Linked DNA regions of Tamandua tetradactyla. The protein of the gene in region 1 interacts with the protein of each later gene in a pairwise test. Links are inferred from orthologs where the notes say so. Each region holds a gene or a part of one and is shown in the gene's direction. Other genes may lie near its edges. The genes, in order: BAG4 and UNKL.

Region 1 (16,427 bases):
CATTAAAATGGTATTTTTGTTTGGTGTTTTCTGCAAGGTACTGAGGAAATAGTCTGAAGGGTGAGCTTTGGGTATAACTTAGCCCCATCATTATTTAGAGAATAGAGGAAGAAGGAGTTAAAGGCAGACAATGACAGACCATTCAAGATAGGTAGGGTTTAGAGGGAGATAAACACAATCTCATCAACTAAGGAGAGATCTGCTGCAGTAAATAGGATGAGGGAAATAGTTTGTGGGATGCAAGCAAAGGAAGTAGGGTGGTATCTTGGACATTGAGTGGAGCCAGAAAGATCATGCGGCCTTTTTCCAAGTACACAGCCACCAAGTAGGAATGGTTGGTGACGAGACAGAAGAAGGCTAAAAAGGAAGGTAATCCTGTGCACCCAACAAATAGAAGGAATAAAGGATCAAAATTGAAGGCAGGCTACAAGAGTATCAAGAAATTCTTAAAAACCAAAAGTGGAAGCACAAAACTTACAGTTAATGCTACCCAACATCATGATGGGCCAAGAACATTGTGGCTTCTGAAGTTAGAAAATGCCATATACCAAAAATTTAAATGAAACACATTACTTTTATCCACTTGACAGCCCCCCACCCCCCTACAAGAGAAACTGATTTGAGGGTATGGGGTGGGGTAGGGAGGAAAGGAGGGAAATGAGAATGGGACATGGTTGGGAACAGTAGTTACATGAGTAGTATTTTTGTCATAATGATAAACTTCTTATTCAAACTTGGTAAAAGCCCATTAGCTGCCAAAAGGGAATAAGGAATTAATTTCCAAAAATGTACAATTTCTTTTAGAGAAGTTTCAGAGCCAAAAGACTAATTTACATGAAAAGCTGTAGAGAAATTAGTTGAAAAGTCCATTCATAAAACTTTTATTCCACTTACATAAACTTAATACACATGTTCTTAACAATTATGCTTGGATTGTTCATGAAAATTTCAAAAGACATTAAACAAAGCTAGCCATCATCAAGTTATTTCCCTGTTAACTATTTTTACAGCACATGCATGTTAGGCAAGTATCAAAAAAAAAAAATCACAAAAGCAAAAAACCTAAAAAAGTTAAATACATGGGTTTTTTGTTTTACTGCTGTGCTTGATAAACATGAAGTAATGAATATCAAGCAACTCGTTTTTACTGCGTAGTTACTTGCACATTTGTTCTTAGGTTGCCTAAAACATTTAAATACAAATAAAATGAGTGTAGCAAAAATAATGAAAGCAAACAGCAGGTAACTTTACAAACAATGGAATGTGAACCGTTTCTGCCCTTCTCCAGAGTAAACTGGGTCACGACTTTGTCTAAAGGAACACTTCTGCAGCTGTAGTCAAAGGTGTGCACATTGAGATTGTGTATTCCACAGATACACATGGTTAAACACGTATCATCCATGGGTTATCTATTTCTACTACAGCCCTGAAAGTGCTCCAACCTTAAAGTACCCACAATAACTACACTTGTGACTGGAACCAATTATCCCTTTTATCCCCCACCAGGACAAACCAATATGTAGTAGGTAGTTTTCTTTGCTTAGACATGGAAGCAGTTTTAACACTGGCCCTTGTGAAGTCACAATGTACCAAAAGTACTATGCCAAACATTTATAACTTGTATAAAAATTCCACATCCCCATATTGGCCACCTCAAGATGAAAACAGATAACTCTCTAAATGTTAACTGGCTCTACTCCCCTAATATTAAACATAAAAACCACATGGGAAATACAGAAATTCAAATAGAAGTAACATAAACCTGTCATAAATCGTAAACAAAAAACTATTTGTGGGACAGCATGGATGACAAATGGTCTACTATGTAAATTTTAGATGAGGCAGACAAAAGTTGGAAGGCCGGTTAGTTTTCCCCTCCTTCTTCTGCTTCAGCTTCGTCTCCCTGGGTATCCGATGTCCACAATGTCAAGTTATCTCTCAGTAACTGCATTATTAGCGTGCTGTCTTTGTATGACTCTTCACTTAATGTATCAAGTTCAGCAATGGCTTCATCAAAAGCTGTCTTTGTAAGAGAGCAGGCTTTCTCCGGAGAGTTCAGAATCTCATAATAGAACACAGAAAAGTTAAGGGCTAGACCCAATCTGATAGGATGCGTCGGTTGAATGCAACGCATTCCTTTTTGCTGATTTCAAATGCCTCTTGATACGCTTGTTGTGACTGATCCACAATCCCTTTCTTGTCATCACCAGCAGCAACTTCAGCCAAGTAACGATAGTAGTCACCTTTCATTTTCAAATAGAAGACTTTGCTCTCTGCTTGTGAGGCATTAGGGATCAAAAATTTTTCCAAAAGAGACAGTACATCATTGCAGATATCTCTCAACTCGGTCTCAATTTTCTCTCTGTATTCACGAGCCATCTGCTGTTTTTTCTCAGCACCTTCCGTCTTTTGCTCAATACTTGAGACGACCCTCCAAGATGACCTACGAGCTCCTACAACATTTTTATAAGCAACAGAGAGAAGATTCCTCTCCTCATTGGATAATTCAGCTCCTTGCTCAGTTACAGACTTCATGCAGGCTGCCATGTCATCATATCGCTCAGCCTGCTCGGCCAGTTTGGCCTTCTGCACCAACTCATTTTTATCCATGACTGGATGTTCTGTGTCCGGAGTAGGTGGCAGCGGACAAACGGGGCTCAGCAGTCTCTGTGCCAATACTTTTTAATGATCTGTTCAACATGGTCTGGGATGTATCCAGGCAGTACATTAAGCTATACAGAATTACATGCCTTCATTCTTATTCTGGGCTGTATGTTTTTGGGTTGTTTAAATGATCTATCCAGACAGGCTGAGTTAGATTATTTGCTACAGAAAATTGAGATTTGGGACAAAAAAACACCTTTTTTTTCCTTCGGTCTCATTGGGTAGGTAAAGTTTTAAAATATAGACAATCTCCTCCTTACCCCTGTATTCTGATTTACCTTAGTCCCAACCTGGTAGGCTTAGTTCTCATCTCTAATTGAAGCCTAATCTCTTTTTTAATTTCTTTCACAGTTGTTGTATGTGGCAATGCTGACTTTCAGACCTGCAGAACTCCTACTCTGAGTCTTAGGAGTTACACAGGTACCCAAAGTTCCAGGGAAATACCACATAAATACCACAGTACCTCAAAATCTAGAAATAACAATTACAGCTCTGGACTAAATGTGACTGCTATAAGAGCTTACAAGCTAGGTCTCAGTTTTCTTATATAGTATTTTCTAAACGTGACCATGCAACATTTGTTCTTTTGTTTCTGGATATCAGTTTCTATATCTGCAAACTAGGAGATTTGGCCTAGATATCTCTGTGATCTTAATTCTAGAATTATTTTCCTCTCAACTTATCTCACAATTTGTTTGGAACCAGCAATGGTTATAAATACAAAAAAAAAATGCCTTAGATATTTAAATGAGGACTATGAGAATAAGCTGGAGGAGAAATCCAATATTACATATTGAAAGGTATGTGCTGTTCTGGGGTCTAGATATACTGTAGAGAATAAGGCTCTTATCCAGACTGGAAGAGACGAATCTTAAAAAGTGCATCAGACAACAACAACAACAAAAAAACAAAAAACAAACAAAAAAAAGCAAAAAAAAAAAAAAAAAAGAAAATTGAAAAAATAAAGAAAAGAACAACAACAACAAAAGTGCATTAGAGACTTCCGGAGAAGATGGCGGCTTAGTAAGACGCGCGGGTCTTAGTTCCTCCTCCAGAACAGCAACTAAAGAAACAGAAACAATATGAAACAGCTCCCAGAGCCAGGACAGAGACCAAAAAGACAGCGTACCCCATTCTGGAACGGCTGAACGGGCAGGGAGAATCCGCTGCGGTGAGATACCCGAGGGGCGCGCATTTTCCCGGCCGGGGCGGCTGGCGACTGGGGTCCCCTCCACGCACGTGGCTCCCTGGTCTGACTGGGAACATTGGATAGCGGGGCCCACCCGCCACGCTTGGCGTCTCGGGCCAGCTGGGCAATTTGGACCGGCACTCCCCAAAGCCGCGGCGGCCGGCGACCCCCCCCCTCCACGCGCAGTTTCCCGGGCCGACTGCGAGATTCAGATTGGCAAGTTAAAGGAGCCACAGCATCTTTTACTGGTAGGACCCGCAGACAGATGAGCGCCACGAGCGCCACCTACTGGGCAGGAAAAGAAAAACAGAGCCCAGAGATTTCACAGAAAAACCTTTCAACCAGCTGGGTCCCACACCCAGGGAAATCTGATCAAATGCTCAGACACCAGCAGAAAATAATGGATGACGCTCGGAAAATTGAAGATATGGCCCAGTCAAAGGAACAAACCAATAGTTCAAATGAGATACAGGAGCTGAGACAACTAATGCTGAATACATGAACAGAAATGGAAAAACTCTTCAAAAACCAAATCAATAAATTGAGGGAGGACATGAAGAAGACATGGGCTGAACAAAAAGAAGAAATAGAAAATCTGAAAAAACAAATCACAGAACTTATGGGAGTGAAGGACAAAGAAGAAAGAATGGAAAAAACAATGGATACCTACAATGGTAGATCTAAAGAGACAGAAGCTACAATTAGTGAACTGGAGGATGGAACATCTGAATTCCAAAAAGAAACAGAAACTATAGGGAAAAGAATGGAAAAACTTGAGCAGGGGATCAGGGAACTGAATGACAATATGAAGCGCACAAATATACGTGTTGTGGGTGTCCCAGAAGGAGAAGAGAAGGGAAAAGGAGGAGAAAAACTAATGGAAGAAATTATCACTAAAAATTTCTCAACTCTTATGAAAGACCTAAATTTACAGATCCAAGAAGTGCAGCGCACCCCAAAGAGAATAGACCCAAATAGGCGTTCTCCAAGACACTTACTAGTTAGAATGTCAGAGATCAAAGAGAAAGAGAGGATCTTGAAAGCAGCAAGAGAAAAACAATCCATCACATACAAGGGAAACCCAATAAGACTATGTGTAGATTTCTCAGCAGAAACCATGGAAACTAGAAGACAGTGGGATGATATATTTAAATTACTAAAAGAGAAAAACTGCCAATCAAGACTTCTATATCCAGCAAAACTGTCCTTCAAAAATGAAGGAGAAATTAAAACATTTATAGACAAAAAGTCACTGAGAGAATTTGTGACCAAGAGACCAGCTCTGCAAGAAATACTAAAGGGAGCACTAGAGTCAGATACGAAAAGAGAGAAGAGAGGTATGGAGTAAAGTGTAGAAAGAAGGAAAATCAGATATGATATATATAATACAAAAGCCAAAATGGTAGAGGAAAATATTATCCAAACAGTAATAACACTAAAAGTTAATGGACTGAATTTCCCAATCAAAAGACATAGACTGGCAGAATGGATTACGACCCAGCAATACCACTGCTAGGTATCTACTCAAAGGACTTAAGGGCAAAGACACAGACGGACATTTGCACACCAGTGTTTATAGCAGCATTATCTACAATTGCAAAGAGATGGAAACAGCCAAAATGTCCATCAACAGACGAGTGGCTAAACAAACTGTGGCATATACCTACGATGGAATATTATGCAGCTTTAAGACAGACTAAACTTATGAAGCATGTAATAACATGGATGGATCTAGAGAACATTATGCTGAGTGAGTCTAGCCAAAAACTAAAGGACAAATACTCTATGGTCCCACTGATGTGAACCGACATTCGAGAATCAGCTTGGAATATATCATTGGTAACAGAGACCACCAGGAGTTAGAAACAGGGTAAGATAATGGGTAATTGGAGCTGAAGGGATACAGACTGTGCAACAGGACTAGATACAAAAACTCAAAAATGGACAGCACAATAATACCTAAGTGTAATGTAACTATGTTGGAACACTGAATGAAGCTGCACCTGAAATATAGTTTTTTGTTTGTTTGTTTGTATCTTTTGTTTTTGTTTTTTTTCTTTTTCCTTTTTTTATATATATTTTTTATTAGTATTATTATTTTAATTCTCTTCTCTATATTAACATTCTATATCTTTTTCTGCTTTTTTGCTAGTTCTTTTCCTGAATCGATGCAAATGTACTAAGAAATGATGATCATACATCTACGTGATGATACTAAGAATTACTGAGTGCATGTGTAGAATGGAATGATTTCTAAATGTTGTGTTAATTTCTTTTCTTTTTTTTGATTAATAAAAAAAGTTAAAAAAAAGTGCATTAGAGCTGCTGATTGGTGATTTTTAAGGATGCAGCTTCAGTAGTATAGTGATGAGAAAAATGAGACTGTGGGTCTAATAGAAGTGGTTTATTGCAGTTGGTCAGGATGTGGCCTTATAAGCTTATATTCCTGGTCAAGGAAGATAAACAAGAAAATTACCTGCTGTGATTAGTACAATGAAATAATAAACAACATAGCAGAAGAATATGATGAGGGGAAAGGGGTAGTAGCATAGAAGGGGTGGCAAGGGAAAATCTTTCTTAAAGGGGTAACTTTGAGTTAAAATGTAAAGAATAAAGAATAAGCCTGTCCTAGAATAGCCAACAAAATTTCACTCATTCATTTCTTTAATGCCATGCATAATATACTTCCTAGATGCGAAACAGAGGAACAAGACAGTGACTCTGCCCTGAAGGAATTTATGGTCTCCCTGGGGCTACAATTAAGTATCATAAGAAAGGAACTGTTAATTATATAAGACTTCAGAGAGAGAAACTATATCTAGCTGGAGGATATAAATAAGTTGGACTTAAAAGTTTTTGGCCATGGAAAGAATGACCGGGAAAGGAAGGAGAAGAGAAATTCGTTTATTAGGCCGAGGAAAAAAGAAAAGGCTATTTATTCATAAGTTTTGGCTGAAAGTTGAGGATATGGAGGGAAACAGGAGATGAAGTCAGAAAGGTATTATTATGGTTAGGTTGAGTTTGGGTCTGACTTCATAGAGAACAAGAAAACACTGAAAGCTGATCTATCAAAAAAAAAAAAAGGGAGAGCAGTTAGATGATTCCCCTATTTGAGACACAAAAAAGGGATCTGAAGTAAGGTAAAGAAGGAAGGGACAGGAGGAGAGGGTTAAACCTGTAGGTATAAGTGATAGGATCTGTCAAGTAACTGAGTTTGTATGGGGGGTATGTGGAGGTGTTGAAGAAGTGAGTTAACGAAGTATCCAAGTTTTGAGTCATCACATCAAAGAGGACCATTTACCAAAATTTGGAAATAAAAGAAGCAAGGTCAGGAAAGAAGTTTATTACCTGTTTGTGATTCTGAAGTATTATCAGGACTTCTAGGTAGAAATGTCAGTATGCTGGAAATGTCGGAATGGAATGCCAGAGGTCAGAATTAGAGCAATTTTAGACAAATCCACCACTAAGAGTCAATTTAATTATTAAAGTCCATGAGATTTCCTGGAGAAATAAAGAAGCAGGCCAAATGCAGAACCCAAGAGACCACTTATTTTAGGGAATAATAAGTTTGAGAGATTAAAAAAAAGCAAGTATAAGTGTCAGAGAAGAGAGTAGAATTAAGAATACAGTGGGGACAGTATCCAGATTGGAAGAGATGAATCTTAAAAAGTGCATTAGAGCTGTTGATTGGTGATTTTTAAGGATGCAGCTTCAGTAGTATAGTGATGAGAAAAATGAGATTGTGGGTCTAATAGAGGTGGTTTATTGCAGTTGGTCAGGATGCTGAGTCAAAGGACAACAACTCAAGAAGTTTAGGGGGTGAAGATATGACAAATGGATGGGAGTTTCATGGGGAGACATACCTGACAAAAAAATCTGAGGATGGAAAGACAACTACATATATGAAGGGAGGGATCGGGGTCAGGGTGGAGTACAAAATATGGGAAAGGTTATTAATGGAACAAATATCCTGAAGCACTGGGAGAAGAAAGTAATAATAGACATGAACAGAAAGAGAAGAATACTTCCTAGTCTAATAAGAAGATTGGTGAAGATACATAAGACTGAGGAGAGGAGAAAATGTGACTATATGGTGTTGCATATCAAATGACTTCAAATTTCTCAGTAAAGGAGGGGGCCAAGAATCTATAAAGGGAGAGGAGTTAGAGGCTGGAAAACAAAAATGATTTTCAGTAAAATGGTAGTATATGTTAGGGTCCTCTAATAATTCAGATATATAAAAAGGGAGTGAAGGCAAAATGGTATCCCTAGGTAACTAAAACAAAACATTTCATTACACATTATACGTAGGTTTGTATAGCGCTGTTCATATATGAGTTAGGTTTAATTTACACTACATTTCCTTTCAATAGCAAAATAACTAATTTGGATTTTTAAAAAATACGATCTCAGAAAACCATAAAAGAATTTAATTTGCATACTCTCTGCTACTGACACTGGAACTGCAGAGATAATTCAAACTTGTTTGAAACTGTGTGTAAACCATTTTGCAACCATTTTTACAAGTTAATGAGACAAATTCCATAATTAAGACGTTTTACTTGAGGAATAACGCACACATAAGAGTTTAGAAAAAGGAAAGACAGAACAACTATAAGTGGCTCCTCTTACTTTTTCTGTACTCCCGTTCAGGACAGTAGACAGGAAGAAGGGATTTTCTTAGAAAAAGCAAGAAATCTGAAGTGACTAAGCCTTTCCAGGAAAGTCAATACCGTGTCTGGCAGCTGTCTCTACTACCATAACCTGAAAGTGTTAAAGACCTTTAGGGTAAGATTACACACTGCCGCACAGCACAAAGCCTACTTTTACTGCCAATTAAATTCAACTGTTGCTGTCTTAATAATGCCCTTTCCCGAAGGATTCTTTCTCAAAGTATTCTCATTCATTCACCAGTAACCTGGTATTTCAAAAACAGAGCAGGTGGGAGACAGTGGACACAGGAGAAGTCTGCGGGGCCACTCTGGCGTTCGGTCCTCCGCTGCTCCGTCTCTTGGAAGCCGGAATGATTCCCACAGGTCGTGGCTTACCAGCCTGGGGACCAGGAGAGGCGTGATGGAGGCAGGAGGGTAGAGAGTGGGCAAGCGGAGTGTCCTCTGGCTACGAAAGAAGTTAGCTCCGAACACCTAGAAATGAGTTCAAAGCACACGGCCCCCGCCCGGGACTTATTCCACGGGCTTCCTCCGAAGAGGCGCCCGCAAGGGTCTTACCCCAGACTTCATTCGGAGGAGATGAGCTACTCACTGTCGATGTCCTCGATGAGGCTGGCGGTGCCGGGCATATAGTTCATTTTTGAACTGAGAGAATGTTGCCGGCGCGTCCTATCACCTGGTTCCTTCCACCGCAGTCGCCGCCTCGGCGGGTCCGTGACCGGAACCCGCACCGAGACCAGCACCAGCACCCGGGCTCTCAGCAGCCGGGGCCCGTCGGAAACGCCTCCATCTTGCCACGCCCACTTCCGGTGCGCAGGCCCGTCCTCAGGAAGAGGCGGGACCGTTATGTGGTCCCGAACACCCGCTCTCTTTCCCTGAGGAAGAGGGGAAGGGGAGTCTAAGTCGGACAGATGGTGGGAAAATGTATTCTCCCTTTTGAGGAACCCGGTACCTCCCCTCACTCTCTTACTTCGAAGGCCCCAAAGTCTCAAACCCCGGTCGCTCTGCTCAGGACCCGGCAGTAGAAGGGGCGGGCCCGGGCCTGGGATTGGCTGTGGTCGCCCTTCCCCGTGGCTGCTGGGCCGTTCGCTCTCTCCGGCGGGCGCCTGCGCGATGGGCCGGCCGTGGGGGGCGGGAAGCGCTTCTGGGCAGCGGATCCTATGTCGGCCCTGAGGCGCTCGGGCTACGGCCCCTGTGATGGGCCGCCCTACGGCCGCTACTACGGCCCCGGAGGAGGAGATGTGCCGGTGCACCCACCGGCCACCATATACCCTCCTCGCCCGGAACCTCCCCAGCCCCACGTTTCCTGGCAGGTGCGCGGGGGCGGCCCGGCCGAGACCTCCTGGCCAGGAGAAGGCGGAGGAGGCGATGGCTACTATTCGTCCGGGGTCACCTGGACAGAGCCGGGTCGAGCTGGAGGAAGCCACCAAGTAAGCTTTTCACCGTCCGTCGAAGGGAGTTGGGAGGGGGGGAGGTGTCTTTGAGGGTGAGGGCTGTTTAGGTTGTTGGACCTCCAGGATTCATAATGGTCGTGTTTCATTCTTTTTATCCTTTTGGAGGGTTGGGAAGACGGAGACCGGGCTCCCTGCTGGGGATGGATGGGGCGGGGTACAGGCTTGTGTTCTTCTTGTCCTCCTTCTTTCTGCTTTGGTATAATAAAATGAGTGAATTACCGTTAAAATAGGAATAAGAGGTCTTGCGTCGCCTGCTCAGTAGCAGGCTGCAGGCCATCTCTTCTGGGAGACGTAGGGTTGGAGGTGACTCGACTCCGCTTCTCCAGCTCTGAACAATTTATCCTGCGTGGCTCCCCGCAGACCGGCTTTCCACTGGAGGAGAAAGTGGCCGCGGCCCCCGTCGTCACTCGGCAGCCCCTTCACGGGGAAGGAGACTGAGGAAGGGGTAGGGATCTGAGCCTTTAGCCTTTTGCCCAGACGTTCTGCCCGAGATTGAATCGTGAATAGGGTTATATGGTTGTAAGACACCTTTACGTGGATTGCTTTTTTTTTTTTTTGCTCTTTGCGTCGACGCCGAGGTAAATACCATTACAGCATCCCGATTTTACGAATAAGAAACTGAAGGCTCTGAGAGGTTAACTTACTTGCTTAACATTCTAGGACCTGTAGCCTTTATTCTCTCTCTACCTGCAGGAAATAAGCCTCTATTTTGTTAAAGCAATATTCTTAGTAGGTCTTAGTCGGGAGTTTTCAGTATATGTGGCGGCGTGCTTCTTTTCCTTTAGACGATTATAGCATCTTTTATTTTATTGAAAATGTAATAGTGAAATCTGTTTACATTGCTGATGGGAACTTAAAATGGTGCAGATGCTTTGGAAAACTGGCAGTTCCCCCAAAAGTTAAGTATAGAGTTACCATATTACCCCCCAATTCCATTCCTGGATATATACCCAAGAAAAATAAAAACATGCCCGAACAAAAAGTTGTAACTCATGTTCATAGCAGGATTATTCATAAGGGCCCAAAAGTGTAAATAACCCACATGCCATCAGTTGTTGAATGGATAAACAAAATATGGCACAGTGATACAATGGAATATTATTCAGCAATTAAAAAGGAACGAAGTTATTGTGAATTACTGATTATATATGTAGAATGGAATGATCACATATTAAGAATGTTTGTGTTTCTTTCCTGTAATTTTTTTAATTAATAAAAAATATTAAAAAGAAAGGAATGAAGTACTGATACACGCTACAACATGATGAACTGTGAGAACATGCGGAGTGAATGAAACCAGTCATAAAAGAGCACGTATTGTATAATTCCATTTATATGAAATGACCAGAATAGGCAAAACCATTGAGACAGAAAAATTAGTGGCTGTTGGGGGAAGAGGAATAACTGCTAATGAGTACTAGGTTTCCTTTTGGAGTGATGAAAATGTCCTGAAGTTAGATGTAGATGTGATTGCACAACTCTAAATACACTAAAAAACAAAACAAAACAAAACAAAACACTGGACTGTGTATTTTAAAAGGTGGATTTTGTGATATGTGAATTATATCTCAATAAAAAATTTTATGGGAAAAGAAACATGTAATAGTGGGAGGTCCATATTTTCTTTGCCTAAATCTGGAAATGTAGGCTAAGGGACTTAATCCCATGATAGAATTATGAAATGCTTGGCCTATAAATAGCCAAACCAGACTTAAAAGCAATTAAAGGGAAAGAGAGGGCCACTGAACTTCTTATTGAGTGTGTTATATTATGAAACCAAAAGTGTGTTTTCTGGGGTAGGGTTTGATAGGGATTGGGTAGGATAGGGAAATTAAGTTTTGTGTATTGTGTAGGCAGTTGTCAGGTGTGGTTGGAATGTAGGTATGTAAAAAGGGTGGCCCATAGTGCTGGAGTAGTTGGAGGTAAAACTGGAATTTTATAATAGGCACTTGTAAACTGTTACAAGATTTGGACATATATTTCAGGTTGACAATTCTGAAACATGAAAAGTATTGGATGCTTATGCAAACTTCAGGTAGACCTTGCTACCTATCATAACCTGCCAACCCCCAATGAGGATCATTCCAGCCAATCCTGAAGAACACTTTGGGCAATATATAAGATTCCACGAGGGCTCCATGCACTAAAAGAACTTTCCAGAAACCTACAACCTCCAGATGGGTCCCTGGTCCAGATAAGTCCTGAAACCAAGCCCAGCCTCTCCAGAACATCAGATAGTTTCATCTCCCTACCCCATTTTAGTGACAGACCCTTCCAATATGGAAAATTTAGAATTGGTATAGCTCAAACACCCCTAAAGGGAGGGATGGGAAGATCAAAGGTGATGGTGGAATTATACAGAGAAGATAGGATTTAACAAATGAATATGAATACTGAATCATTAAATTGATATCTCTTTTTAGTCTCCAGTATTAGAGAGCAGCTAGAAGTAAAAACCTAAAATTGTGAAATTGTAACCCATGTCAAACTCTGAAATACGTTCTACAACTAATTGTGGTGTTGTGCTTTGAAATTTGTAGCTTTTTTGTGTGTATGTTATTTTTCACAAAAAAAAAAAAGAAGGAAAAAAAGTTGATTGTAATGATAAAAAAATACTCAAGTCCTCTAGCCTTCTATATTCTGGAGCAGCTAGAAAAGGAAAATCTGAGAGGATCGTGTGGTAGCCCATGACAAACTCTGGCATCTGGCCTGTAACTACTTGCAGAAGAGTGCTTTGAAAACTATTGCTTTTTTATTTCTTTGCTTTGTATATATGTTATACTATATAATAAAACAAGTTAAAAAAAGTATTGGATGATAACTAGTTACACAGCAATAGAAAACTAATTAGAAATGGCATAGCTATTGTCTACAAATGTTGCAAACTTTTGCTTCCCCAATTCCTTGTTTGTCTTTTAACTTTATTCTTCTTTTTAAAGTTGTGGTAAAACGAATGTATTAGTCTGGGTTTTCTAAAGAAACAAAACCAACAGGAGATATTCGTAAATATGAAATTTATAAAGGTGTCTCACACAACTGTGAGAATGGAAGAGTCCAAAATCCGTATGGGCTGTGAAGCTGGCAGGTCTGATGAAGGTCATGAGGAACTCCACAGGGGTAGCTTGCTGACTGAAGAAATAGTGAAAAGTCTCTTTTCTCCCTGATAAGTCTTCAGCTGATTGACTTATCTCAGTTGCAGGGGTCTGCCGTTAGTTGAGCTCAGATGTAATGAGCCACAGCTGCAATCAACTGACTGATGATTTAGTAAACCAGCCTTTCAGTTTATCAACTAGCCACAAAATATCCCTGTAGCAGCAGTTAGACCAGTGCTTGCCGGATCAGACAACTGGGCGTCATTACCTGGCCAAGTTGACACCAGAACTTAACCATCACAATGTGTATAACATAAAATTTGTCATTTGAAACCATTTTTAAGTGTACAATTCAGTGGTACTTAAATACGTTTGCTGTGTTGTGCCACCTTCAACACCTTTTATTAGCAAAAGCATTCATTAACCAAAATGGAAACTCTGACTCTGTTAAGCCATAATTCCCCATTCCCCCCTCCCCACAGTCCCTGGTAACCTCTAATCTTTCTTTCTTTATGAATTTGCCTATTCTAGACATTTCATTAAGTGGAATTGTACAATATTTGTCCTTTTCTGTCTGGTTTATTTCACTTAACATAATGCTTTCAGAGTTTGTCCAGGTCATCATATGTATCTAAACTTCATTCCTTCTAATACTGAATAATATTCCATTGCTTGTTGTGCTGGTTTGAATCTATGGTGAACCCCTGAAAAGCCATGACCTTTAAACCTCATTCAGTGTTGCTGGCCGGGAGCTTTTTGATTGTTCCCATGGAGATGTGAACCACCCAGTTGTGGGTGATAACTTTTGATTAGATGATTTCCATGGAGGTGTGTCTCTACCCATTCAAGGTGAGGTTGCTTACTAGAGTCCTCTAAGAGGGAACCATTTTGGAAAGAGCTACAGAAGCTGCGCAGCCAGAAAACACCCCCGGGGAGCTTCATGAAACAAGAAGCTGAAAGAGAAAGCTAGCTGACTTCGCCTTGTGTCCTTCCCAGCAAGAGAGAAACCCTGAGTGTCGTCAGTCTTCTTGAACCAAGGTATCTCCCTGGGTGCCTTAGATTGGACATTTATATAGACTTGCTTTCATTTGGACAATTTCACAGCCTTAGAACTGTGAATTTGCAACTTAGTAAATTCCTCTTTTTAAAAACCATTCCGTTTCTGGCAATTAGCAAACTAGAATATATATATATATATACCACATTATTTTATCTATTCATCAGCTGATGGACACTTGGGATATTTCTACCTTTTGACTATTGTGAGTAATGCTGTTATGAACTTCGGTGTACAAGCATCTGTTGGAATCCGTGTTTTCATTTCTTTTGGGTGTATGCCTAGGAGTGGAATTTCTGGGTCATATGGTAATTCTATGTTCAATTTTTTTAAGGACTGAGCGAACTATTTTTCATAACAGCTGCACCATTTTGCATTTCTACCAGCAACGCACTAGGGTTCTGATTTCTCCACATTATTCCAACTCTTGTTATTTTCTGTTTTTTTTAGTAATAAACATTCTAGTGATGTGAAATGGTATCAAACTGTGGTATTGGTTTTATTTTATTAATGACTGTTAATGTTAGACATATTTATTGGCCATTTCAATGTCTATTCAAATCCTTGGACTCCTTTTTTTTTATTATTGTTTTTACTGAGAAATCTTCATGTACAGTCCAACCATATTATACAATTAATGTCTTGCAGTATCATCACACAGTTGTGTATTTGTCACCATAATTGTTTTTGGAACATTTGCATCACTACAGAAAAAGGAAAAAAAAAAACAAAACTCATGCATACCATACACCTTACCCCTCCCTCTCACTGACCACTAGTGTTTCAATTTATTTATTTTTTTACCCTTTATTCTCCCCATTAGTTATTTAATTTTTATCCTTATTTTTTTCCTTGCCCCCTCTCCATTTTTTTCTTTTGTTTCTAGTTTATTTTGCAATATAATATCTCCCTGGTTCATTCACCTCATTGCATGCCTCAGAACTTCGTTCCTTTCTGTAGCCACGCAATATTTAAACATGTGTATACACCACAGTTCACCATTTTACTTTTCAGTCAGTATTCTAGTTTGCTAGCTGCTGGAATGCAATGTACCAGAAACAGAATGGCTTTAAAAAAGGGGAATTTTTTTTTTTTTAGATTTCCAAGTATATTTTAATAAGCAGCTATACAACAGATTTTAAAGTTTCACATGGGTTACAGTTCCAAAATTATATACTTTTTTATTACTGTTCCAAGACACTGGGAGACCAAAAGAAATAGCAGTATATTGATTCAGCAGTGATATTCGTTTGTAAAACCCTATCTTCTCTGTTATATTATTCCTTCTCTTTTCTTCTCTTTCGTGAAAAATAACATATATAAAAAAACAGCAATACATTTCAAAATACATTTCAAAGCACATTGCAGCAATTAGTTGTAGAACAGATTTCAGAGTCTGATATGGGTTACAATTCCACACAAAAAAGGGGAATTTAATAAGTAGCTAGTTTACAGTTCTAAGGCTGTGGAAAAGTCTAAAAGCAAGTCTGTGAAAATGTCCAAATAAAAGCACCAACAAGAGGTTACCTTTACTCAAGAAAGGCTGATTAAGTTCAGGGTTTCTCTCTCAGCTGGAAAGGCACATGGTGAAAATGACGGTCTCCTTTCTTTCTCTCCAGGCTGTTTGCTTCATGAAGCGCCCCCAGGAATGTATTCCTTCTTTATCTCCAGAAGTGGCGTGGGCTCTCTACTTTCTGGCTCTGTTGCTATCAAGCTTTCTCCAAAATGCTTCCTCTTTTAAAGGATTCTAGTAAACTAATTAAGACCCACCTGGAATGGGTGGATTCACACCTCTCTCTATTCAAAAGTTCATACTCACAATTGGGTGAGTCACATCTCCATGGAAATAATCCAATCATGTTTCCAATTTACATTATTGAATAGTAATTAAGAGAAATGGTTGCTCCCACAAGATTGGTTAAGATTAAAACATAGCTTTTCTAGGGTACATAATCCTTGCAAACTAGCACAGTCATTGTTTCCTTCAGCTACCTCCAGGCATTGGGCATCATGTATAATGTCCAAAGTCAACAATCCATGTCTCACATTATCCTCACTTAGTTGTGCAATCATCAGCATTCTCAATTTTAGACAATTTTCATTGATCCCAAGAGAAGAATAACCGATAAACACACCCTCACCAAAGAAAAAGTCCAAACCTCCCCTAACTCTTGTCCTCCCCTTCCCCAATTACTTATCCCTTGTATTGCTGTGGCACTGTTGATGTCTTCTTTTTATTGTTAATTTTTTTTTATTGAGAAATCTTCACACACATACATTCTGTACTTGGTGTACAATCAG
Region 2 (16,191 bases), on another chromosome or scaffold:
GGCCTCGGATACCACCTCTTACTGTCCTGTCACAGACGGGGGGCCCTAAGTGTCCCGGGGTGAGCACAAGTGGGCAAGGTTGAAGGGCTCTGGTAAGCCACAGGCCTGAGGCCAAGGCCAAGGGGGAGGTGCCTGCTCTCCTGGGGGCTGCTGCCACGGTGCCCTCTGAGGCTCTGGGGGACTGAGGCCAGCCTGCCCCCCGAGGTTGCGGCCCCCAAAGACAACTCTGTCCTAGAACCTGGAGCCTGTAACTGGGGGGCCCCCGGGATCTGGGGGGGGCTTATGGGGGTTGTGCCTGGCAGGGGCCCTGCAAGGGGAGGAGGGAGGCCACAGCAGGAGCCCATGGGAGCAGAGGGCAGGGCGCCGGGCGGGGGGGCCCCAAGGTCGAGAAGACCCTGCTCCTGCCTTGGAGCCCGTGCGGCCTGTGCCTCGGGGCGGCCCTGGCCGTGGGGAGCACCTGGTGCTGTCTCAGCCACCCCGGGAGGCTGGCACCCCACGAGACGGGCCGCACTGTGGGGAGCCATGGCGCAGACCCACTGCCCCTCTGTCCCGGGCCTCTGCACCAGGCGACCAGGCTCGTGGGGGACCGTGTCTGTGGGTGTCCGTCCCTCAGGGCCTGCCCCGCCCGGGCCCCGCACCCCGCCTTCTCACGCCCGCCCTCTGCCTGGCCCCTTGCTCTGCAGAGCTGGGGCCCTGGGGGGGTCTTTGGGGTGTCGGCTCAGGCTTGGCCTTGAGGGTCTACAGCCCAGCCCCGCCGCCTACCTCTTGGTGCCTCCGGTACTTTCCTCCACCTGCCCCGAGGCGACCCGGGACAGAGGACTCCAGAGAGGGGCCGAGGGGGGGAGCAGGTGGGCGTCGGGGGGCGGTGCTGGGGGGGCTGGGAAGCTGAGGCCAGAGTGCACCTGGGGTCCCCTCCAGGCGCCGGCAGAGGGTCACAAAGCAGGTCCAGGGCCTCAGGGGTCAGGAGGTTACCCATCCCCATCTGCTGTCCCCCCACACACACCCATCCCCCCTGTGCCCTGAACAATGTTCCAGATGGCCCTGGAGCCCCGTCAGGAGGCGGGAAGCTTTTGGTACTGGTAGGGCCAGGCTGGGGAAGGGCCTAGGGCTGGTGGGTGGCATTTTGGTACTGGTGGGACCCTGGCATGGGGCTGAGGCCCAAGTGTATGTCCTGCCTGTTCAGGCCCCAGGCAGCATCGACTCACACCCAAGAAGGCAGGAACAGCCTGCCCCCCGCCCCCCCCCCCCACCCCAGATGCATCATCTCCCTGTGGGAAATCAATAGCTCCCACCTGCTGGCCTCTGGGTGGGTGCGGGCCGCGGGCTGTGGGTGGGGGAGGCAGCGTGACCGGGCCCCAAGGGCTCGCTGGGGTCAGGGGACAGGCCTGCAGCCCTCCTGCCCCTGCACCCTGGGCCTGGCTGCCGGGTGGAGAAGTGCTCGAGGCCATGGGGCTGCACTGGAGAAACCTGCGCCAGGGGAGAGAAGCGTAACCCTGAGCTGGCCTGGGGCCACGTGGCTACAGAGGGGTGGCTGTTACCTGAGCCTCCATGGCCTCAGTGTGGGGTTTGTGGCTTGTGAGGGGCTCGGTACCCCCCGCGCACTCCTGCCTGGCAGGCAGCCCCCGTCCAGCCCCCGGGCCTCCCTCCCTCGTGCCTGCTTTGGCCTACAAAGGAGACCCAAGGGGCAGAAAGAGTGGGGTCTAGAGGCAAGAGGCCACTCGGCCACACAGGCCGACCCCCTCCCTGCTTACCGCACAGTGAATCCCCGGCTGACCATGCTGCCCAGCTCTGCCCCCACCCTGCTACCCTGGACTACAGAGCTTGTGCCCAGAGTCCCTAATGTGCCCTGACTGGGCAGTTGCCTGAGCAAAACTCTTAACCTCGGGGCCTTCTGCCCCCACCTCCTCCAGGAAGCCCTCTGGGCTGGCACTGGCAGGATGCATCTGGCATGTGCCAGCCCCTGAGAGCAGGCCGGCATCTGGCTCACAGTGGTGCTCTGAGGCCTGGAAGGCGTTGCAGGGCCCAGAGGGAGCAGGCGGGGCGGGGCGGGGGAGGAGGCCCTGGGAGGACAGGTGCCCCTGTTGACACAGCAGCTGCGAACATGGCTGGGCCGAGCCTCTCAAGGTGGGGGCGGCTCCCAACACGGCCGAGCCCGCGCGCCTCTGACACCCCGGGGGGGAGCGCATACTGGCCCCCCGAGGCCTGGGTGCCTCTTCTGCCAGGAGGCGTGGCGGGAGAGGCTGCTGCAGAGGCGGCCTTTCACAGCTCCAGGCGACCTCACCACAGTCCCTCGGGGGACCCCAGGCAGAGAGTCAGGGAAGACAAGGGGACAGGGAAGGGGCAGGGCCAGGACCTCCTGCCGCCCTGGAGACAGGGCCTGTGAGTTGCACCCAAAACCTTGAACGGAACCAGGGCACCTGAAACGGAAAGGGGGCAAGGAAGCGGGAGCCCAGGCGACCCTTCCCACCGTCGAGCTGGGGTTCTCTCCCCTGGAGAGTCAAACACTGGCTGTTCAGCTTTCCAAACAATCTTGCCACCAGCATGGGTACAAATTCTCCTCTGCAGCTCTGGGCATAGTTGATGTTGTTTTGCTTCTAAATAATTTTTTTTTTTTGTAAAAAATTATTAACAGTTTTCTTCTAAACACAATGTTTTATTTTGTAAATCAAATTTACCCAGTCCCCCACTTCTAAGGGTGGTCTTGTTGTAAAGGACCTCGCACCTCCCTGGGACCCACAGAAGACGCCCCCACGCCTTGGCGGTCCAGGTCACCTCGGAGTGCTCATCTCGGGCCTGCTTGCTGAGACCCACGCTGCCGCCAGAAGCGCTGCCCGTCTTGGGGGTGAGGCCTGGGTCCCCACCACCGGCACAGGCTCTTCACACCTCCTGGCAGCAGGGCTCCCCAGTGCAGGCGTTCCGCCTTCCCACCCACCACGGCCCTTTAGCACGCCGACCACCCCCAACTGTTTTTGGGACATGACACACTTTTGGAATAAAACAAAAGCATCTGAATTCCACGTGGGGAGCAGAGACACTCAAAGGTTTCTGGGATTTACAGTTGTATTTGCCTCTTGTGACAGGGACAAGGTGGAAAAGGTTTTATTCCTTATAACTGCTGTACAGCCACAAGAACAGAACACAGATTTGAGCTCAACACCTCAGCCTGCCCTGGGACGAGTCCAACTGCATCTGGTTTATTTTCTTGTGAGACAGTGTAGTTTCTGTTGTACGTACCCATGAGATAATATTCTGTATGGCTGAATATTAAAAGATGAGCTTTACCTAAATCACAGCTGCACACACATGTGGGCATGGAGTTACACAGACGGCCCCCCCAGGAGCTGCGAAGGCGACTCGGCTCCTGTGGGCTCTCAGGCCCATCAGCAGAACTTGAGCCGGCGGTAGGGACAGATGATGCCAGCAGCTTCCCCTGGGGCCGCCCAGTGCCTCCTCGCAGGCTGAGTCCACAAAGCTGTGGACACGGGAGTCTGCGGGCTTGGCCCGGGGGCATGCCTGTGGCAGGACTTCCCCACGGGGCCTTGGCAGGACCGGCTGTCTTGGGCTGGGGACCATCGCCCCCCGGCTCAGCGAGGAGCGCATCCACCGGTGTCGCCCTGAGAGCCCTTAGGCTTTCCCAGCCTGCCGGGCCTGAGCTGCTCTGGGAGCAGACACAGCTCTCCGTGAGCAACACCCAGCAACGAGGATACGGACCGGCCATCACGCAACAGCACAGTTCCCTGCGCGCGCCTGGTCTAGCCTGGGGATGCAGAGGAGTGGGGGAGGCCGGGCTCTGTCCTGGCCGAGCTCCCTCCCAGGGAGAAGGCGGCACTGACCGTGGAAGGGAAAAGGCAATTCCAGCGAGCGGAAGGGGCCGACGACGAAATCAGGCTAGGGCGTTAGCACGGGCTCCCGGAGGAGACCCCGCGGGCGTGCGCCCTGGGCGGCGGGGAGGGTGCAGGGGTGCGGGCCGGAGAGCTCGCGAGACGGGGCAGTAGCCGGGGGCGCCGCTTCTCAGAGGCCAGCCCGTCGGAGGAGGCCGCCCCCACTCCACGCGGGCCGGCGACCGGAGGACCGGGCGGGCGCGTTCGGCTCCCGACTAAAAAAAGAACTACATTTCCCAGCAAGCCCGTGCGGCCCTCCGGGGGCGGGGCCTACGACGGAAGAGGCCTCTGGGAACTGCCTCATTTCCGTTGCGCGACCGGGCCCACGTTCTGTGGTCGTGAGTGGAGCCCTGGGCGGCGTCCGGCTTCCGGCTTCGCGCGACGGAAGTGACGCAAAGCGGCGCGCCGCGGCCCCGACCGCGGAGCTCGGGCGGAGATGAGTCGCGTCCTGTGTGTTCCTGCGGCGGGGTGAGTTCCATGCGCTCTCAGCGGGGCCGAGGGCGAGCCGGCTGGCGCTCCGGCTGGCGGAGCGCTCACTGCTCTCTCCCTTCCAGGACCGTCCGGGCGCTGCGGCTTGTGCGCCGGGCTTCCCGAAGCCTGCACCCGCCGCCGGGACCCCGGGCTCGGGCCCAGTCGGTGACTGAGGGGGAGGAAGAGGAGGACCCTGACCGACCCATTAAGTTTTCTTCCAGTAACATCAACCCGAGTCTCTGGACTGTAGGGCACTCCCTGGGAAAGGCGCAACAGCGACCCTGGTGGAAAGTGCTGCCCCTCTGCCTCTCCCTCGTGGCGTTAGTCGTCTGGTGCTTCCTGAGGCGGGAGACCCGCAAGGACGAGTGGTTGAGACGGGTGTTGCAAGAAGAGATGCCGGAGTCCAGTGGCCGTTCTGCGGAGCTTGGAGCTCCTGCTGGCGACGGCGCGAGAAGCTAACGAGGTGCCCGGCGGGGAAGAGGCAGCCGCCCTTAGGCCTTGATGTCTCGTTTGACCGTTTCTGCCCTGGTTCACGTGTGCGTTCCCTGCACTGAAGAATCAGGGGGTGGCGCACTAGGCCACGCCGACTTGCGTGGGGTGCAGCAGATCGGTATCTGCCTCACGTGATGCATTGAATGCGTCCAAAAGGCTTTCAGATCCGTAGGAAAGGTTTTGGTTGCTTTGTGTGCTGTGAGATTCCTGTTGCCTTCGTGCGACAGAATCATTTCAAAGCGTTTCTGGTGACACTTGTAATCCAGTTGTTATTTTGCTGGTCATTTGCTTTTTGAGACAGAATAACTGGCAGAAGAGTTAAACTTTATTATGTACTCTGTGTAAAGAGCATATGTTGATGTTAGTTTTACACGCTAAAAAAATTGAAAATAAATTTTAATTTGGTAGCGTGGAATTAAGGCAACTCTTTTTGTTTTTCTTTTTGCATTTCACTTTTTTTATAAAAGGTATTTTAGTAGGCCAACAGCTGTGTTTTTCAGTTCCTTTGTTTTTCTTTTTTTCCAGAGTAGGAATTGAGAAAATAAATCTCAATGTAAATTGTAGAATACATTATCAAACTATACCCCAAATAATGGGCTTTCTCAACTTTTGAACACTTCTTTGTTATTGCCAAAGCAACAACTTACTTTCTTTTTTTTTTTCACATGGGCAGGCACCGGGAATCGAACCCAGGTCCTCGGGCATGGCAGGCAAGCACTCTTACCTGCTGAGCCACCATGGCCCGCCCAACAACTTTCTGTGTAGAATAAAACGTAAATATTTCCTCTGACAAATTATGGGCAATATTTTAGGTTACCTAAATGACTTTTTTTTTTCCAAGTGACTGCTTGAAAAAATCTGCTTGATTCTGAATTAAAAATACATAAAGGGAAGATTTTATGAATCTAGCCTTCTATGGAAGGTTTTCTTTATCTCACTGTTTGTGGTGCCAAAGTTAATTGGCGATTTCTCTGTTTGCACAGTGGTTTTGAATCACCATGGGTGATAACATAGTGATTTCTCAGGTCTTGTTTCTGAGTGATCCAGGTATCTGCACACATCTGTGAATTGCGCTTGTGAAGGAGGTGGTGCTGATGCAAGCATGTCATCTTTTTAATATTGGAGAGACCAAGTTTGGTATGATTGATCATCTTAGCTCAGGTTCCGTAGTACCAGTCAGACATAGCAAAGGACTAAGATGTCATCCCGGGCCTGGAGTGGTTGTGACTGTCTGCTTGTGAACCATTCTGTTTGAACAGCAGTCATTCAAGCCTGAACCTTGACGTTTTTCTCTCACTATCTACTGCAGGGAATAAAAAGTTAGCAGAACTAACAGAGAAGAATCTTTTCTTTAATTAAAAGCAGTTTCCATACAAAAGCAATGTATGTTTTATCTGGAAAAAACGGGCCCTAAAAGAAGCACAAAGAAGAAAAACACCAGTAATTCTATCACCTAGAGGTAACTACTGTGAACACTGTCATTTATCTTTCTAGATTTTTTTTTAAAAGACAAGTTGGATAATAGCATTGTTTTGCTGGACATCATACCACATGCAAAGGATCCCAAGTATTCCAGGGCATATCTGAAGGTCTTTCCAATTAATGGTTTTGTGCCAGTGACAAAGATAAAAATTTTCATAAGCAAGAGGAGGGCCCAAGGCCAGCTGGCAACAGTGGGCAAACCCTCCCCAAACTTGGACTTTTCAAGGGTTGACAACAGACTGGTCAATTTAAACTGTTCTTTGTTTGTTTTGTCTTACTCCTTTTGTTTTTGTAGTATGCTTGTTTTATTTCCCAATTTGGCTGTTGCTTTTCTTTTTCCCAGGTTACCTGGCGTGTTGACTTCCCCATAAAGCAGTCAGCATTTGAGCATTTTGTTTGAACAAACAAAAGAGCTTTGTTGAGATATAATTCACGGTTCTCACTTCACCCACTTAAAGTGTACAATTCAAAGTGTGTTGGTATACCAGTGCAAGCATGCTAGAGTGGAAGTGGTTCCAGTGCATAGTGAGATGGTAAATTATTAGACAGAAGGAGGAGGAAATTGAGAGAATGCTTTCAAGGAAGAGGAGGTTGTCACTTTCTGTTGAGCAGTCTTAGAAGCCTGTGGCAGTACTGTGCATTGTCCCCGCCCCCCCCCCCCAAAATGGTGAAACCCTAGTTTATTTTACCTGAGTCTGAGCATTACCCCAGACTTTTTGTTTTTGTTTTTGTTTTTTTTTGGCATGCTCTATGGCAGGGGTCACGTTTCATTCTTTTTCCATGTGGGTATCCTGTTATTGCAGCCAAAAAAAATTTTTGAAATTTTTTTTGTTTTGCTGGTTTTGCTTGTTTGTTTTTTGGGGAAGTGCATGGGTTGGGACTCGAACCTAGGTCTCCCACATGGTGGGTGAGAATTCTACCACTGAACTACCCTTGCACCCCCTTATCCTGGTTTTTTAAAAACATTGTTCAAAAGCACAAAATAACCCTGTGGGTGACTTCCCCTCTTATCTTTACAGCTGAGATCCTCAAAACTCTTCATCTTAAGCCCCCAGCTTCCTTCATAAGCCCTGGAGGGTTCCCTGGTGGACCATCTCAGGTTGCTTGAACTCCTTCAATTCAAAACAGATTCTTGACTGTGCCCCAACCTTTCCCTTTTCGAGACTTTGCCTCATATCCCACTTAATTTTATTATAATCTACCCACTCCTCCAGGCTAGAGACCTAGGAATTATTCTAAACTTCCTCTCATCCCCAGCGTCTTCAAGATCTGTTTATTCCTCCTAAGAATTCCTGGATCCTGTCCCCACTTGCTTCTGCTTCCGCTTGATTTTCTTTAAGAATATCAAAATCCTGTAGTTTCAAGATTTAAATAATGTAAAAGTAATTTAGAAAATGAAAGTATGAGGGAGATAGTCATCCATCCTACCTGTTAGCGGTGATTTACTGTTATTTGCATTTCAAAACAAGTGACTGACATAATTGGGAGCGAATGTGTGGAAACTTTTCTTTGTTTCTAACCTCAACTGGAACATTTTTTCTTGTCACTAACAATTCTTAGGAAAAATGGTTATTAACTCACTCATAATCTAACCATTTTCCAACTGCTGGGCTGATTGGCAGTCTCGTTTTTGCTAGATAGCTCTCTGACAATTGTCTTCATACATCTTTGTCTGAATCGGATTTTTTTAGGTTGGCGTTCCACGACATAGAATAGCTTCCTTTACTTAGAGGTCTGCACCGGTTTGCCGTCCCTTTCCCGGGGGCGTACCTGCTCAGGTCATTGGTTGTGGGTTGCTGTTCTGAAAACAAAAATCTGCCAACTCGAAAGGCACTTCGATATTTTAATTTGCATTTTTAAAAATTACTGGTGACATCGGATGTTTTAAAAAATGCCTCGTGTGCTATGCATTTGTAAGATAATGCACGCTCCCTGGAAGCTTTCTCCTGAAATGCAAACCCCTTGTTCTTGGGACTGGCCCAGCTGGGGCCATGTTTGCCGGGGCTCAGCGCTGGCTTCCCTCTGCACCCCCGTGTGTGCTCTCTGGCCACCCTGATGGGAACTAGTGTGGGTGTGACTCTCTTGAGCCACACAAACGAACAAAACAGCTTTATTGAGCTGTAATTCACATGCTATCTAATTCACCCACAAAGTGTATAATTCAAAGGGTGTTGGTATAGGGTTGTGTAACCATGCAACAATTTAATCGTAGAACATTTCCGTGCCCCATTAGCAACCACTCGGTCCGCCCCGAATTGGATCTGTTGTTTGCGGCCTCCGCACCTAGCACAATTCGGGGAGTCCAGGAATGAGTGAAAGTGCGCGTGCAGGCCGCGGGTGTGTCCCAGCACTGGGCACACGGCGCGTTCGCCTTGGTCCCGGGGCCAGCTAGATCCGCTCCGGGTATGTGCCAGCGTTGGCAGAATGAATGGGCGGGAGCGGAGACGGCTGACGGCTAGGAGGGGCTCCGGGGTCGGGAAAGAGAAGATGCGGGGGTGAGGGCGGTGGGCTTCGGGGGGAGGGGTTGGGACGCAGGCGACGCTGAGTACCGCGAGACACGGGGATGGCCGAGGCCGCGCGCTCCACCGGACAGTGTCGCGGCAGGAGCTTGGGCTGGGGTCCGCCGGCCGAGAGAGCTGCGCTCGCGTGTCCGCGGCGCGGGCGGGTGCTGACGCCTTCCGGGGCGGTGGGCGCTGCGCGGTCCGGGACCGCCCCCCGCCCGCGAGCGCTACCTGGGGGGCGGGGCCGGGGGCGGGGCCGGGAGGGGTGGGGGGCGCGGGTGGGCTCGGCGCGGGTGGGGGGAGACCCGGAGGGGCGGGGGCGGGTCCGCGCGGCGCATGCGCGCTGCATTGTTTTGACTGAAAATGCCGTCGGTTTCGAAAGCGGCGGCGGCGGCGCTGAGCGGGTCCCCCCCGCAGACGGAGAAGCCGACCCACTACAGGTCAGCCCCGGGCCCGCGCCGCCGCCGCCCTGGATGCCGAGCCGCCGATGCCGGGGCGCGCGGAGGGCCGGAGGCGGGAAGCGGCCTCGTGCGCGCCCGGCCTGCGCGTGCCCGCAGTCCGGCTCCTGGGCCTGGGGCGGTCCCCGGTGCGGCCTGGGCTGGGGGGGTCCGCGCCCTGCCGCCGCCCGCCCGCCGATCCTCTGCTCCGTCCCCGCCGCAGCCGCTTCCGCTCTCCGGGGCTTCGGGACCGCGCCGGCCATGGGGGTTGGGGGTGGTCCGGGTGGTTGGGGTCGGGGACCGTGCCGGAAATCGGTGTCAGAGAGCGCGCCGGGTGCCTGGCTCTGGGACCGTGCCGGGGCTCGGGGTCAGGGGTCATGGTTGAGGTGTGGGTCCGCGTCGGGGATGATCCCCGGGGTCGGGTCCGTACCTGGGGTCTGGGTCGGGACTGCGTCGGGATCGAGCTAATACTTTGGGTGCGGGATCACCAGGGATTAGGGGGCCACGGGCTTAGCGTCAGGGGTCGGGAACTGCGCTTGGGGTCAAGTGTCTGGATGACCGAGCTTGGATTCTGGGGGCAGGAATAGTGCTTGAGGCGGGGGGGACCTGGCCTGGGGTCTAGGGTGGCATCTTGGCTTGGGAGCCGGGGGCCGCCTCTTGGGTCGGGGGTCTGCGCCGGAATGGCGAGTGGGATACGACCGGCTGGCCTTGGGCTGCTGCCGCCTTGGGTTGGGGGCCGGCGCATGGGCTCTGGGGTGGCACCTAGGCTTGGGGGTCAGGACTGCATCTGGAGTTCTGGGTTTCACGCTTAGCCACGGATCCTGCGGGTGGGGGCTTTCTGCGCCTAGGGTCTGGGAGACCGCCTCTGGGGTCGGGGGTGGCCTCTCACCTGGACCCTGCCTGTCGCCGCTTGGGATCTGAGGTAGTAGCTGCAGTTATTGAGGGCAGGGGTGTGCCTGGGATCGGGGGCCCGCGCCTGAAGTCAGAGGTCCCGGGAGACCGCGCCTGGGGCTTGGGGGGCTGCGCCTGCGGTCGGGGATCGGGCCTGGGGTCTCCCGCGTCCCGGAGCCCCCCCGGCCGCCCGACCCGCAGCGCTGTGTGTTTTTTTAGGTACCTAAAGGAGTTTAGGACAGAGCAGTGCTCGCTGTTTCTGCAGCACAAGTGCGCCCAGCACAGGCCGTTTACCTGCTTCCACTGGCATTTCCTAAACCAGCGTCGGCGCAGACCCCTCCGCAGGCGCGATGGCACCTTCAACTACAGCCCCGACGTGTACTGCGCCAAGTACGACGAGGCCAGCGGCGTGTGCCCCGACGGCGACGAGTGAGTGCGCGCGGGACGCAGCCGGGACGCACGGGGCGCCCTTTGGGTGTGCAATTGCCAGAGTCGCCGCTGGCCTGGGTCTCGCAGGCAGCGTGGCCCTGGCGCGTCAGAAACCCTCTGGGTACCTCTCAACACGTGGCGCCGCACAGTGGGGATCATGCTTTTACGCTGCAGACGGTGGGGAGGGGGCCTTCCCTATTTTTAGGCAAGTGTGGGCGACTGTGTGGGTTTTCGGGATAAACCGAAATTGTCCTGCCTCCTACTTTTGACTGTGCCACAGTTTTCCAAAGAACCTTCGTCAGAACCAGCTTTATGTGGTATAACAGCCCTGGTGCCCGCCGTTTCTTAGTTGTGGTCGATTCCAGAGGAACAGTTTATACTAAAATTTATTGGCTCTATGTCCCTGTGCATCTGGAATATTTTCTTTCTTGCTGTTTAAACTTTTAATTTTTAAAAACGGATAGATAGTAAGTTATTTTATTTGCCGACTGTCACTTCTATAGCACTTTTAAAATTTAAGAAATCAAGATTTTGTTTGGGTTGATTTTTTTTTTTTTTGCAAGTTTCCTAATGGTGTTATGAACAGATGTCTTTATTTTGAAATATGTAGAATGGGGAAATACAAGTCAGGTTATGTATTCACATAATGGGTGGGAATCCATAGCGGGAGTTTTACTCTTTCCTGCTGGGTGCTTCTTTTTGGGCTAAAGGTGAGGCATGTAGGGACCCCTAACGGGAGCTGCCTGCTCAGCTTCTCTCGGGATAGGTTGGAGCTGGTGGGTCTGAGGGCTCAGTCCCCTGATGCCCTTGGGGAGGGCTGCCGCTTCAGGAGTGCCCCTCACCCCAACCCCACAGAACCTGGCAAGATGGCTGCTTTCCTGTATTTTTCAAAAATCCTTCAGCCAGAGAGTAAACTTTTGATCACTGTCTGATTGCTTTATAAACTTTAAACATTTCCTGAAGTTTTTAGCTGAATGTGGGATGGTTAAGTAGCTAAATAGCTTTGTCCTTAAGGACAAGTGCCATTTGCACTTTCTGCATTGGAAGCATTTCTGTTTAAGTTCGATTTATTCTTCCGTGCAGTTTTGAAAATGCTGTGTTTAATTGCTTCCTGCCCTACTAGGAGGTATTTGTGTGGTGGAGACACTGCTTTGGTCCCTCTTTATTCATGGCCCTTGTCCAAGCAATCACCTCTGTAGACCTCGGGTCCCGTGGTGGGGCCACTGCTGCCTGGTCCCATCCCAGAGTGGATTCTGGGGCAGCATTAATTGGTAATGTTTTAACACACAAAAGGACGTGTCTTTTAACAGCTGTTTCGGATTCCAGAGCTGAACTGTCCAGTTATTGAACCCCAATACTGGGCACTAGGTAGGTCCAGTACTTACTGGGACGGCACAGTGGCAGGGAGCACCTGCCTACAGCAGCCAGTTCCCTTTGCATGCATGAGTACATAACGTGGAACTCATGCGTTACAGAAATGCTAACTGGAACCACAGAGCTGACGTTCTAAATGGTGCCTGGTTTACTGCACGCCAGGATAGGGGTGTGATGTTTTCTATTTGGGAGTCCTCCTGGGGACATCTGCCTGCAGTGGGACACTCCCACAGGACCTCCGTGAGCACCTGGAGGGACCTGCTTGTCCCTTGGAGATGTTTTAGGGGCGGGACCCTATGGAGTCCTGCTGAGTCCTGGCCTCAGTCCACCTGGAGATGGACTTTCCCATCAGGCACAAATGAAATAGCCCCAACTTTGGCCTGCTGAACCCCATATTCTGGTTCAGGCAGCATGGCCGTGAATTCTAAACAGACCTACCTTTCAGAGTAAGGACTGGCGAACTTGCTTGTATTTCAGTTGCGGTTTTTGTTTTTGTGATTTCCCTTTTGGGCACGTGTTCTCCCAACCTGTTATTTTAGAACAAGAGTGTCAAAGAGCAGCGGCCCTGCGGCCAGTTTCAGGTGAAGTAAGCATAGAGCTTGTTCTTGGTGCCAGATGAGGTGACCCCAGGGGACGGTCATCCTCCCACCTACCCTGGCCGCCATCCCCGCTCTTCAATGCGCCTTTCCTCAGTGGGCCTTCCCCTCCATCGCCTGCATCCATGCCGCCACCTCTCCCCGGGCACCCCAGGGTCACACCCCTCGCGGCACTCCCGTGCCACCCTGTTTCCTCGGTGGACGGGCACTCTCCCCTTCCTCCGACCCGCGGGCACCCCCTTTCCCCGTGCGATCACCCTCTGGCCTTGGGACTGAGCGGAGTCGGCTGACTCGTGGTGCTGGTCTGGTGCTGGTCGCTCCGGAAAACGCCCTTTGTTCTGAGCGGTCCCGCCCCTCGCCAGGCGCCAGCGGCGATTGGCCACCCCCACCCAGGTGGCTGCCGGCCCCTCCCCCGTGGGAACTGTGGTCGAAGCGGGGGCACGCCTGGCCCCTGGTGGAGGTGCGCCCGGCTCCGGGTAGGCAGGACTGCCTCTGTCTAGCTGGGTTTTGATACCCAGCACGTAGCAAGAATTAGGACGCTACTGGAGGCCTTAAGGACCCGGCTTCCTTCCCAAGCCTGGTTCCCAGTGTTTACTCCTCCTTCGCAGTAGAATTCTGACCTCTGGATTGATCGCAGGTATTTCTCCTGTGCCTGACTTTCTCTTACCTCTGGAGGTCTCTCAGGGTCCACCCCCTCCGATGAGGGACATCAAGTGTTGCAAGGGGCTGTGACTGGCTCCAGCGCAGGACTCTGGACCTGCTCCCACCCATAAACTCAGGTCTGTTGCCCACCCTCCCACCCCCACTTCAAGACCTCAGCGTGGAATCCCACCCATGATGCAAAATACCTGGCTTCCTGGGGGCCAGTGGCCTTCGAGGGGAACTTCCTGGCACCTGGTGGCAGGTGGGGACCCTTGGTTACCAGGGGCTACAGGGCTGGGCCCTTCCCACTTGCTCCCTGGCGTGTCCCCCCTAAGGCTGTCTGGAGCAGAACCCCTGGCCTGGTGGGTGAAGGTGATTGTGTGGGGCTCCCCGCTATGAATAGCCAAGGCTGCCTGGCCACTGTCTGTAGGACCGATTTTAAGAGAAAACTTTTCCAAGTATCTCCTTCTGAGTAAGACTGTTGTTGCTGGTTTGAGTCAGGATTTAATATTAAAAAGTCTGGTGCTTTTGGACCTAAGGCACAAATTTTTTCCTGCCTGGGGCTTCTGAGTGGCTAAAACTGATCTTGTGGGTAAACTCTGCCTGGGCTTTAGGGCGAAGAGAAGCAGCAGGCTTGACCATCACAGCGCCACATTGAAGTGTCAGGGGTTCCTCACACCCTGGAAGGAGACACAGCTTTTTGGTTAATGGATACTAGTTTGAGGGAAAGCACCATCAGGTTGTTGGGTTAGAATCTGTAACATGCACATAGGAAAAACGTGTAAGGTCACTGAGTGGTGGCCATGCTCTGACCCGTCCTGCTTTGTGTGACCGAGCAGGGGTGGCATTGGTCCTGGTAGGAAGTGCCTGGAGAGGGGGCTGCTGCGAGGGCGCTAAGAGGGTGGGGTGGGGGTCTTGGACTTGCTGGAGCTGGAAGTCCAGATTAGGGGAACGGTGAAGTTTCTGTCCTGACTAGGGAGTCATGGGCAGCCCTTGGGAGCTGTGGGCAGGGTGGGGGGCACAGCTGAGCTGACAGATTTGCTGGGCATGGTATCCGAAAGGAGAGGGCAGATATGGGCAACTGCCTAGCCTGTTTTTTCCCATCTTCCTACTGTCACTTATTTTCTGTACTCATGTGTGCGGGTTTGAAACTGTTACATACCCCAGAAAAGTCATGTTCTTTTAATTCTAAATCCAGTCTTGTGGGGGCAGCCATGTTCTTTTAATCCTGATCCAATATTGTAGGGGTAGGACCTCTTGATTAGGTTGTTTCCCTGGAGATGTGACACAGCCAGTTGTGGGTGGGGCCTTTTTGATTAGCTGGAGATTTGACTCCGCCCATTCAAGGTGGATCTTGATCAGTTTGCTGGAGTCCTTAAAAGAGCGGACACAGACTTAGACAGAGACATTTGGAGATGTAGAGGAAAATGCCAGAAGGATCCACAGGATCTGCCAGAGCTGTTTGAAACCAGAAGACTGGAGAGGAGCCCAGCAAACTTCTTCATGTCAATTCCCATGATATGCTAAGCAAGCCAGAACCCAGAGCTGTGTTCTGAAGGAGCTAATGGAAGGCCTGCAGATGCTCAGAGAGGAAACCATAGGAAACAGAAGCACAAAGCAATGAACCAGGAGCAGGGACCTCAGACGCCAGCCATGTGCCTTCCCAGTTGTCAGAGAAATCCCAGATGCCATTTGGCCTTTCTTTGGAGTCAAGGTATCTTTCTCCGGATGCCTTAGTTTGGACATTTTTAAGGTCTTAGAACTGTAAACTTGTAATTTAATACATCTCCTTTAAAGCCATTCCATTTTTGGAATATTGCATTCCGGCAGCTTCAGCAAACTAAAGCTGTTTGGTTGGTCAGTCTTGCTTCTCTTTTAAAAAAAGTAATTGCTGTTTTACATGTAAATTACATTATATATATATATATAAAATGTAAGATCTGCCTCGTTAACCATTTTCAAGTGAACAAGTGAGTGGCGTTAAGTATGTTCAGGGTGTGGTGTCCCCACTGTCTCTTTCCAGAACACTTTCATCACTGCAAACAGAAGCTCTGGCCTCATGAAGCACTTGCTTCCCAGCCCTTGTAACCTCTAATCTACTTTCTGTCTCGTGCATTTCTAGGGATTCCAGAATATGTTGGTTTAAAACTGTCGTATACCCCAGAAAAGCCATGCTTTTAAATCCTCATTCAATATTGTTGATTGGGATCTTTTTATATTGTTTCCTTGGAGATGTGACCGATCCCATTGGGTGGGGGGATCTGGTGATTAGGTGATTTCCATGAAGATGTGTCTCCACCCACTCAAGGCAGAATTGCTTACTAGTGTTCTTTAAAAGGGAACCGTTTTGGGAGAAGCTTCAGAGAACACATAGCAAAAGACCTTTGGAGATGCAGAAAGAAAATGCCCCTAGGGAAGCTGTTTGAAGAAGCTGGGAGAGAAAGCTAGCAGATGTCAACATGTGCCTTCCTAGCTGAGAAAGAAACCTGAACCTCATCAGCCCTTTCTTGAGTCAATCTGTCTTTCCCTGGATGCCTTAGTTTGGACATTTCTATGGCTTTAGAACTGTAAACTTGCAGCTTAATAAATTCCTTTCTCAAAAGCTGTCCTGTTTCTGGTATATTGCATTCCTGCAGCTTTACAAACGAAAATGCCACGAAAATGAAATTGTGCAATATTTGTCCTTCTGCGTCCGGCTTTGACTCAGTGCAGTGTCTTCAAGGTTGCATGCGTCAGGACTTCATTCCTTTTTAATGCTGAATAATATTCCATCCTATGATTAAACCATATTTGTTTATCTACTTGTCTATCAATAGACATTTGGGTTTCTTCCCCTGTTTGGTAATTGTGAATAATGCCTAGATGAATATTTGTGTGCAAATAACTGTTCCAGTCCCTGCTTTCAATTCTTTTGGGCATATACCTAGGAGTAAAATTGCCAGCAGTGCAAATCCAGGCCAGACCACCTGGCTCAGAACCGCTAGGGCCGTACTGG

Evidence for each region.
Region 2: the proteins of BAG4 (region 1) and UNKL interact in binary tests that used the Homo sapiens proteins (3 or more experiments, as listed by UniProt). The link is inferred for Tamandua tetradactyla from reciprocal best matches to the Homo sapiens genes BAG4 and UNKL.

Annotation. Positions count from the first base shown.
Region 1 is NC_135352.1:5,119,173-5,135,599, reverse strand, and holds the start of BAG4 (BAG family molecular chaperone regulator 4), read left to right. Parts: upstream 1-9,650; 5' UTR 9,651-9,683; coding exon 9,684-9,953; intron 9,954-10,232; exon of another isoform or gene 10,233-10,459; intron 10,460-16,427. UniProt on the Homo sapiens protein: Inhibits the chaperone activity of HSP70/HSC70 by promoting substrate release. Prevents constitutive TNFRSF1A signaling. Negative regulator of PRKN translocation to damaged mitochondria.
Region 2 is NC_135349.1:56,010,890-56,027,080, forward strand, and holds the start of UNKL (putative E3 ubiquitin-protein ligase UNKL), read left to right. Parts: upstream 1-9,176; 5' UTR 9,177-9,190; coding exon 9,191-9,267; intron 9,268-10,374; coding exon 10,375-10,584; intron 10,585-16,191. Other genes in the region: UQCC4 (ubiquinol-cytochrome c reductase complex assembly factor 4), read left to right, coding at 4,318-4,349, 4,436-4,811. UniProt on the Homo sapiens protein: May participate in a protein complex showing an E3 ligase activity regulated by RAC1. Ubiquitination is directed towards itself and possibly other substrates, such as SMARCD2/BAF60b. Intrinsic E3 ligase activity has not been proven.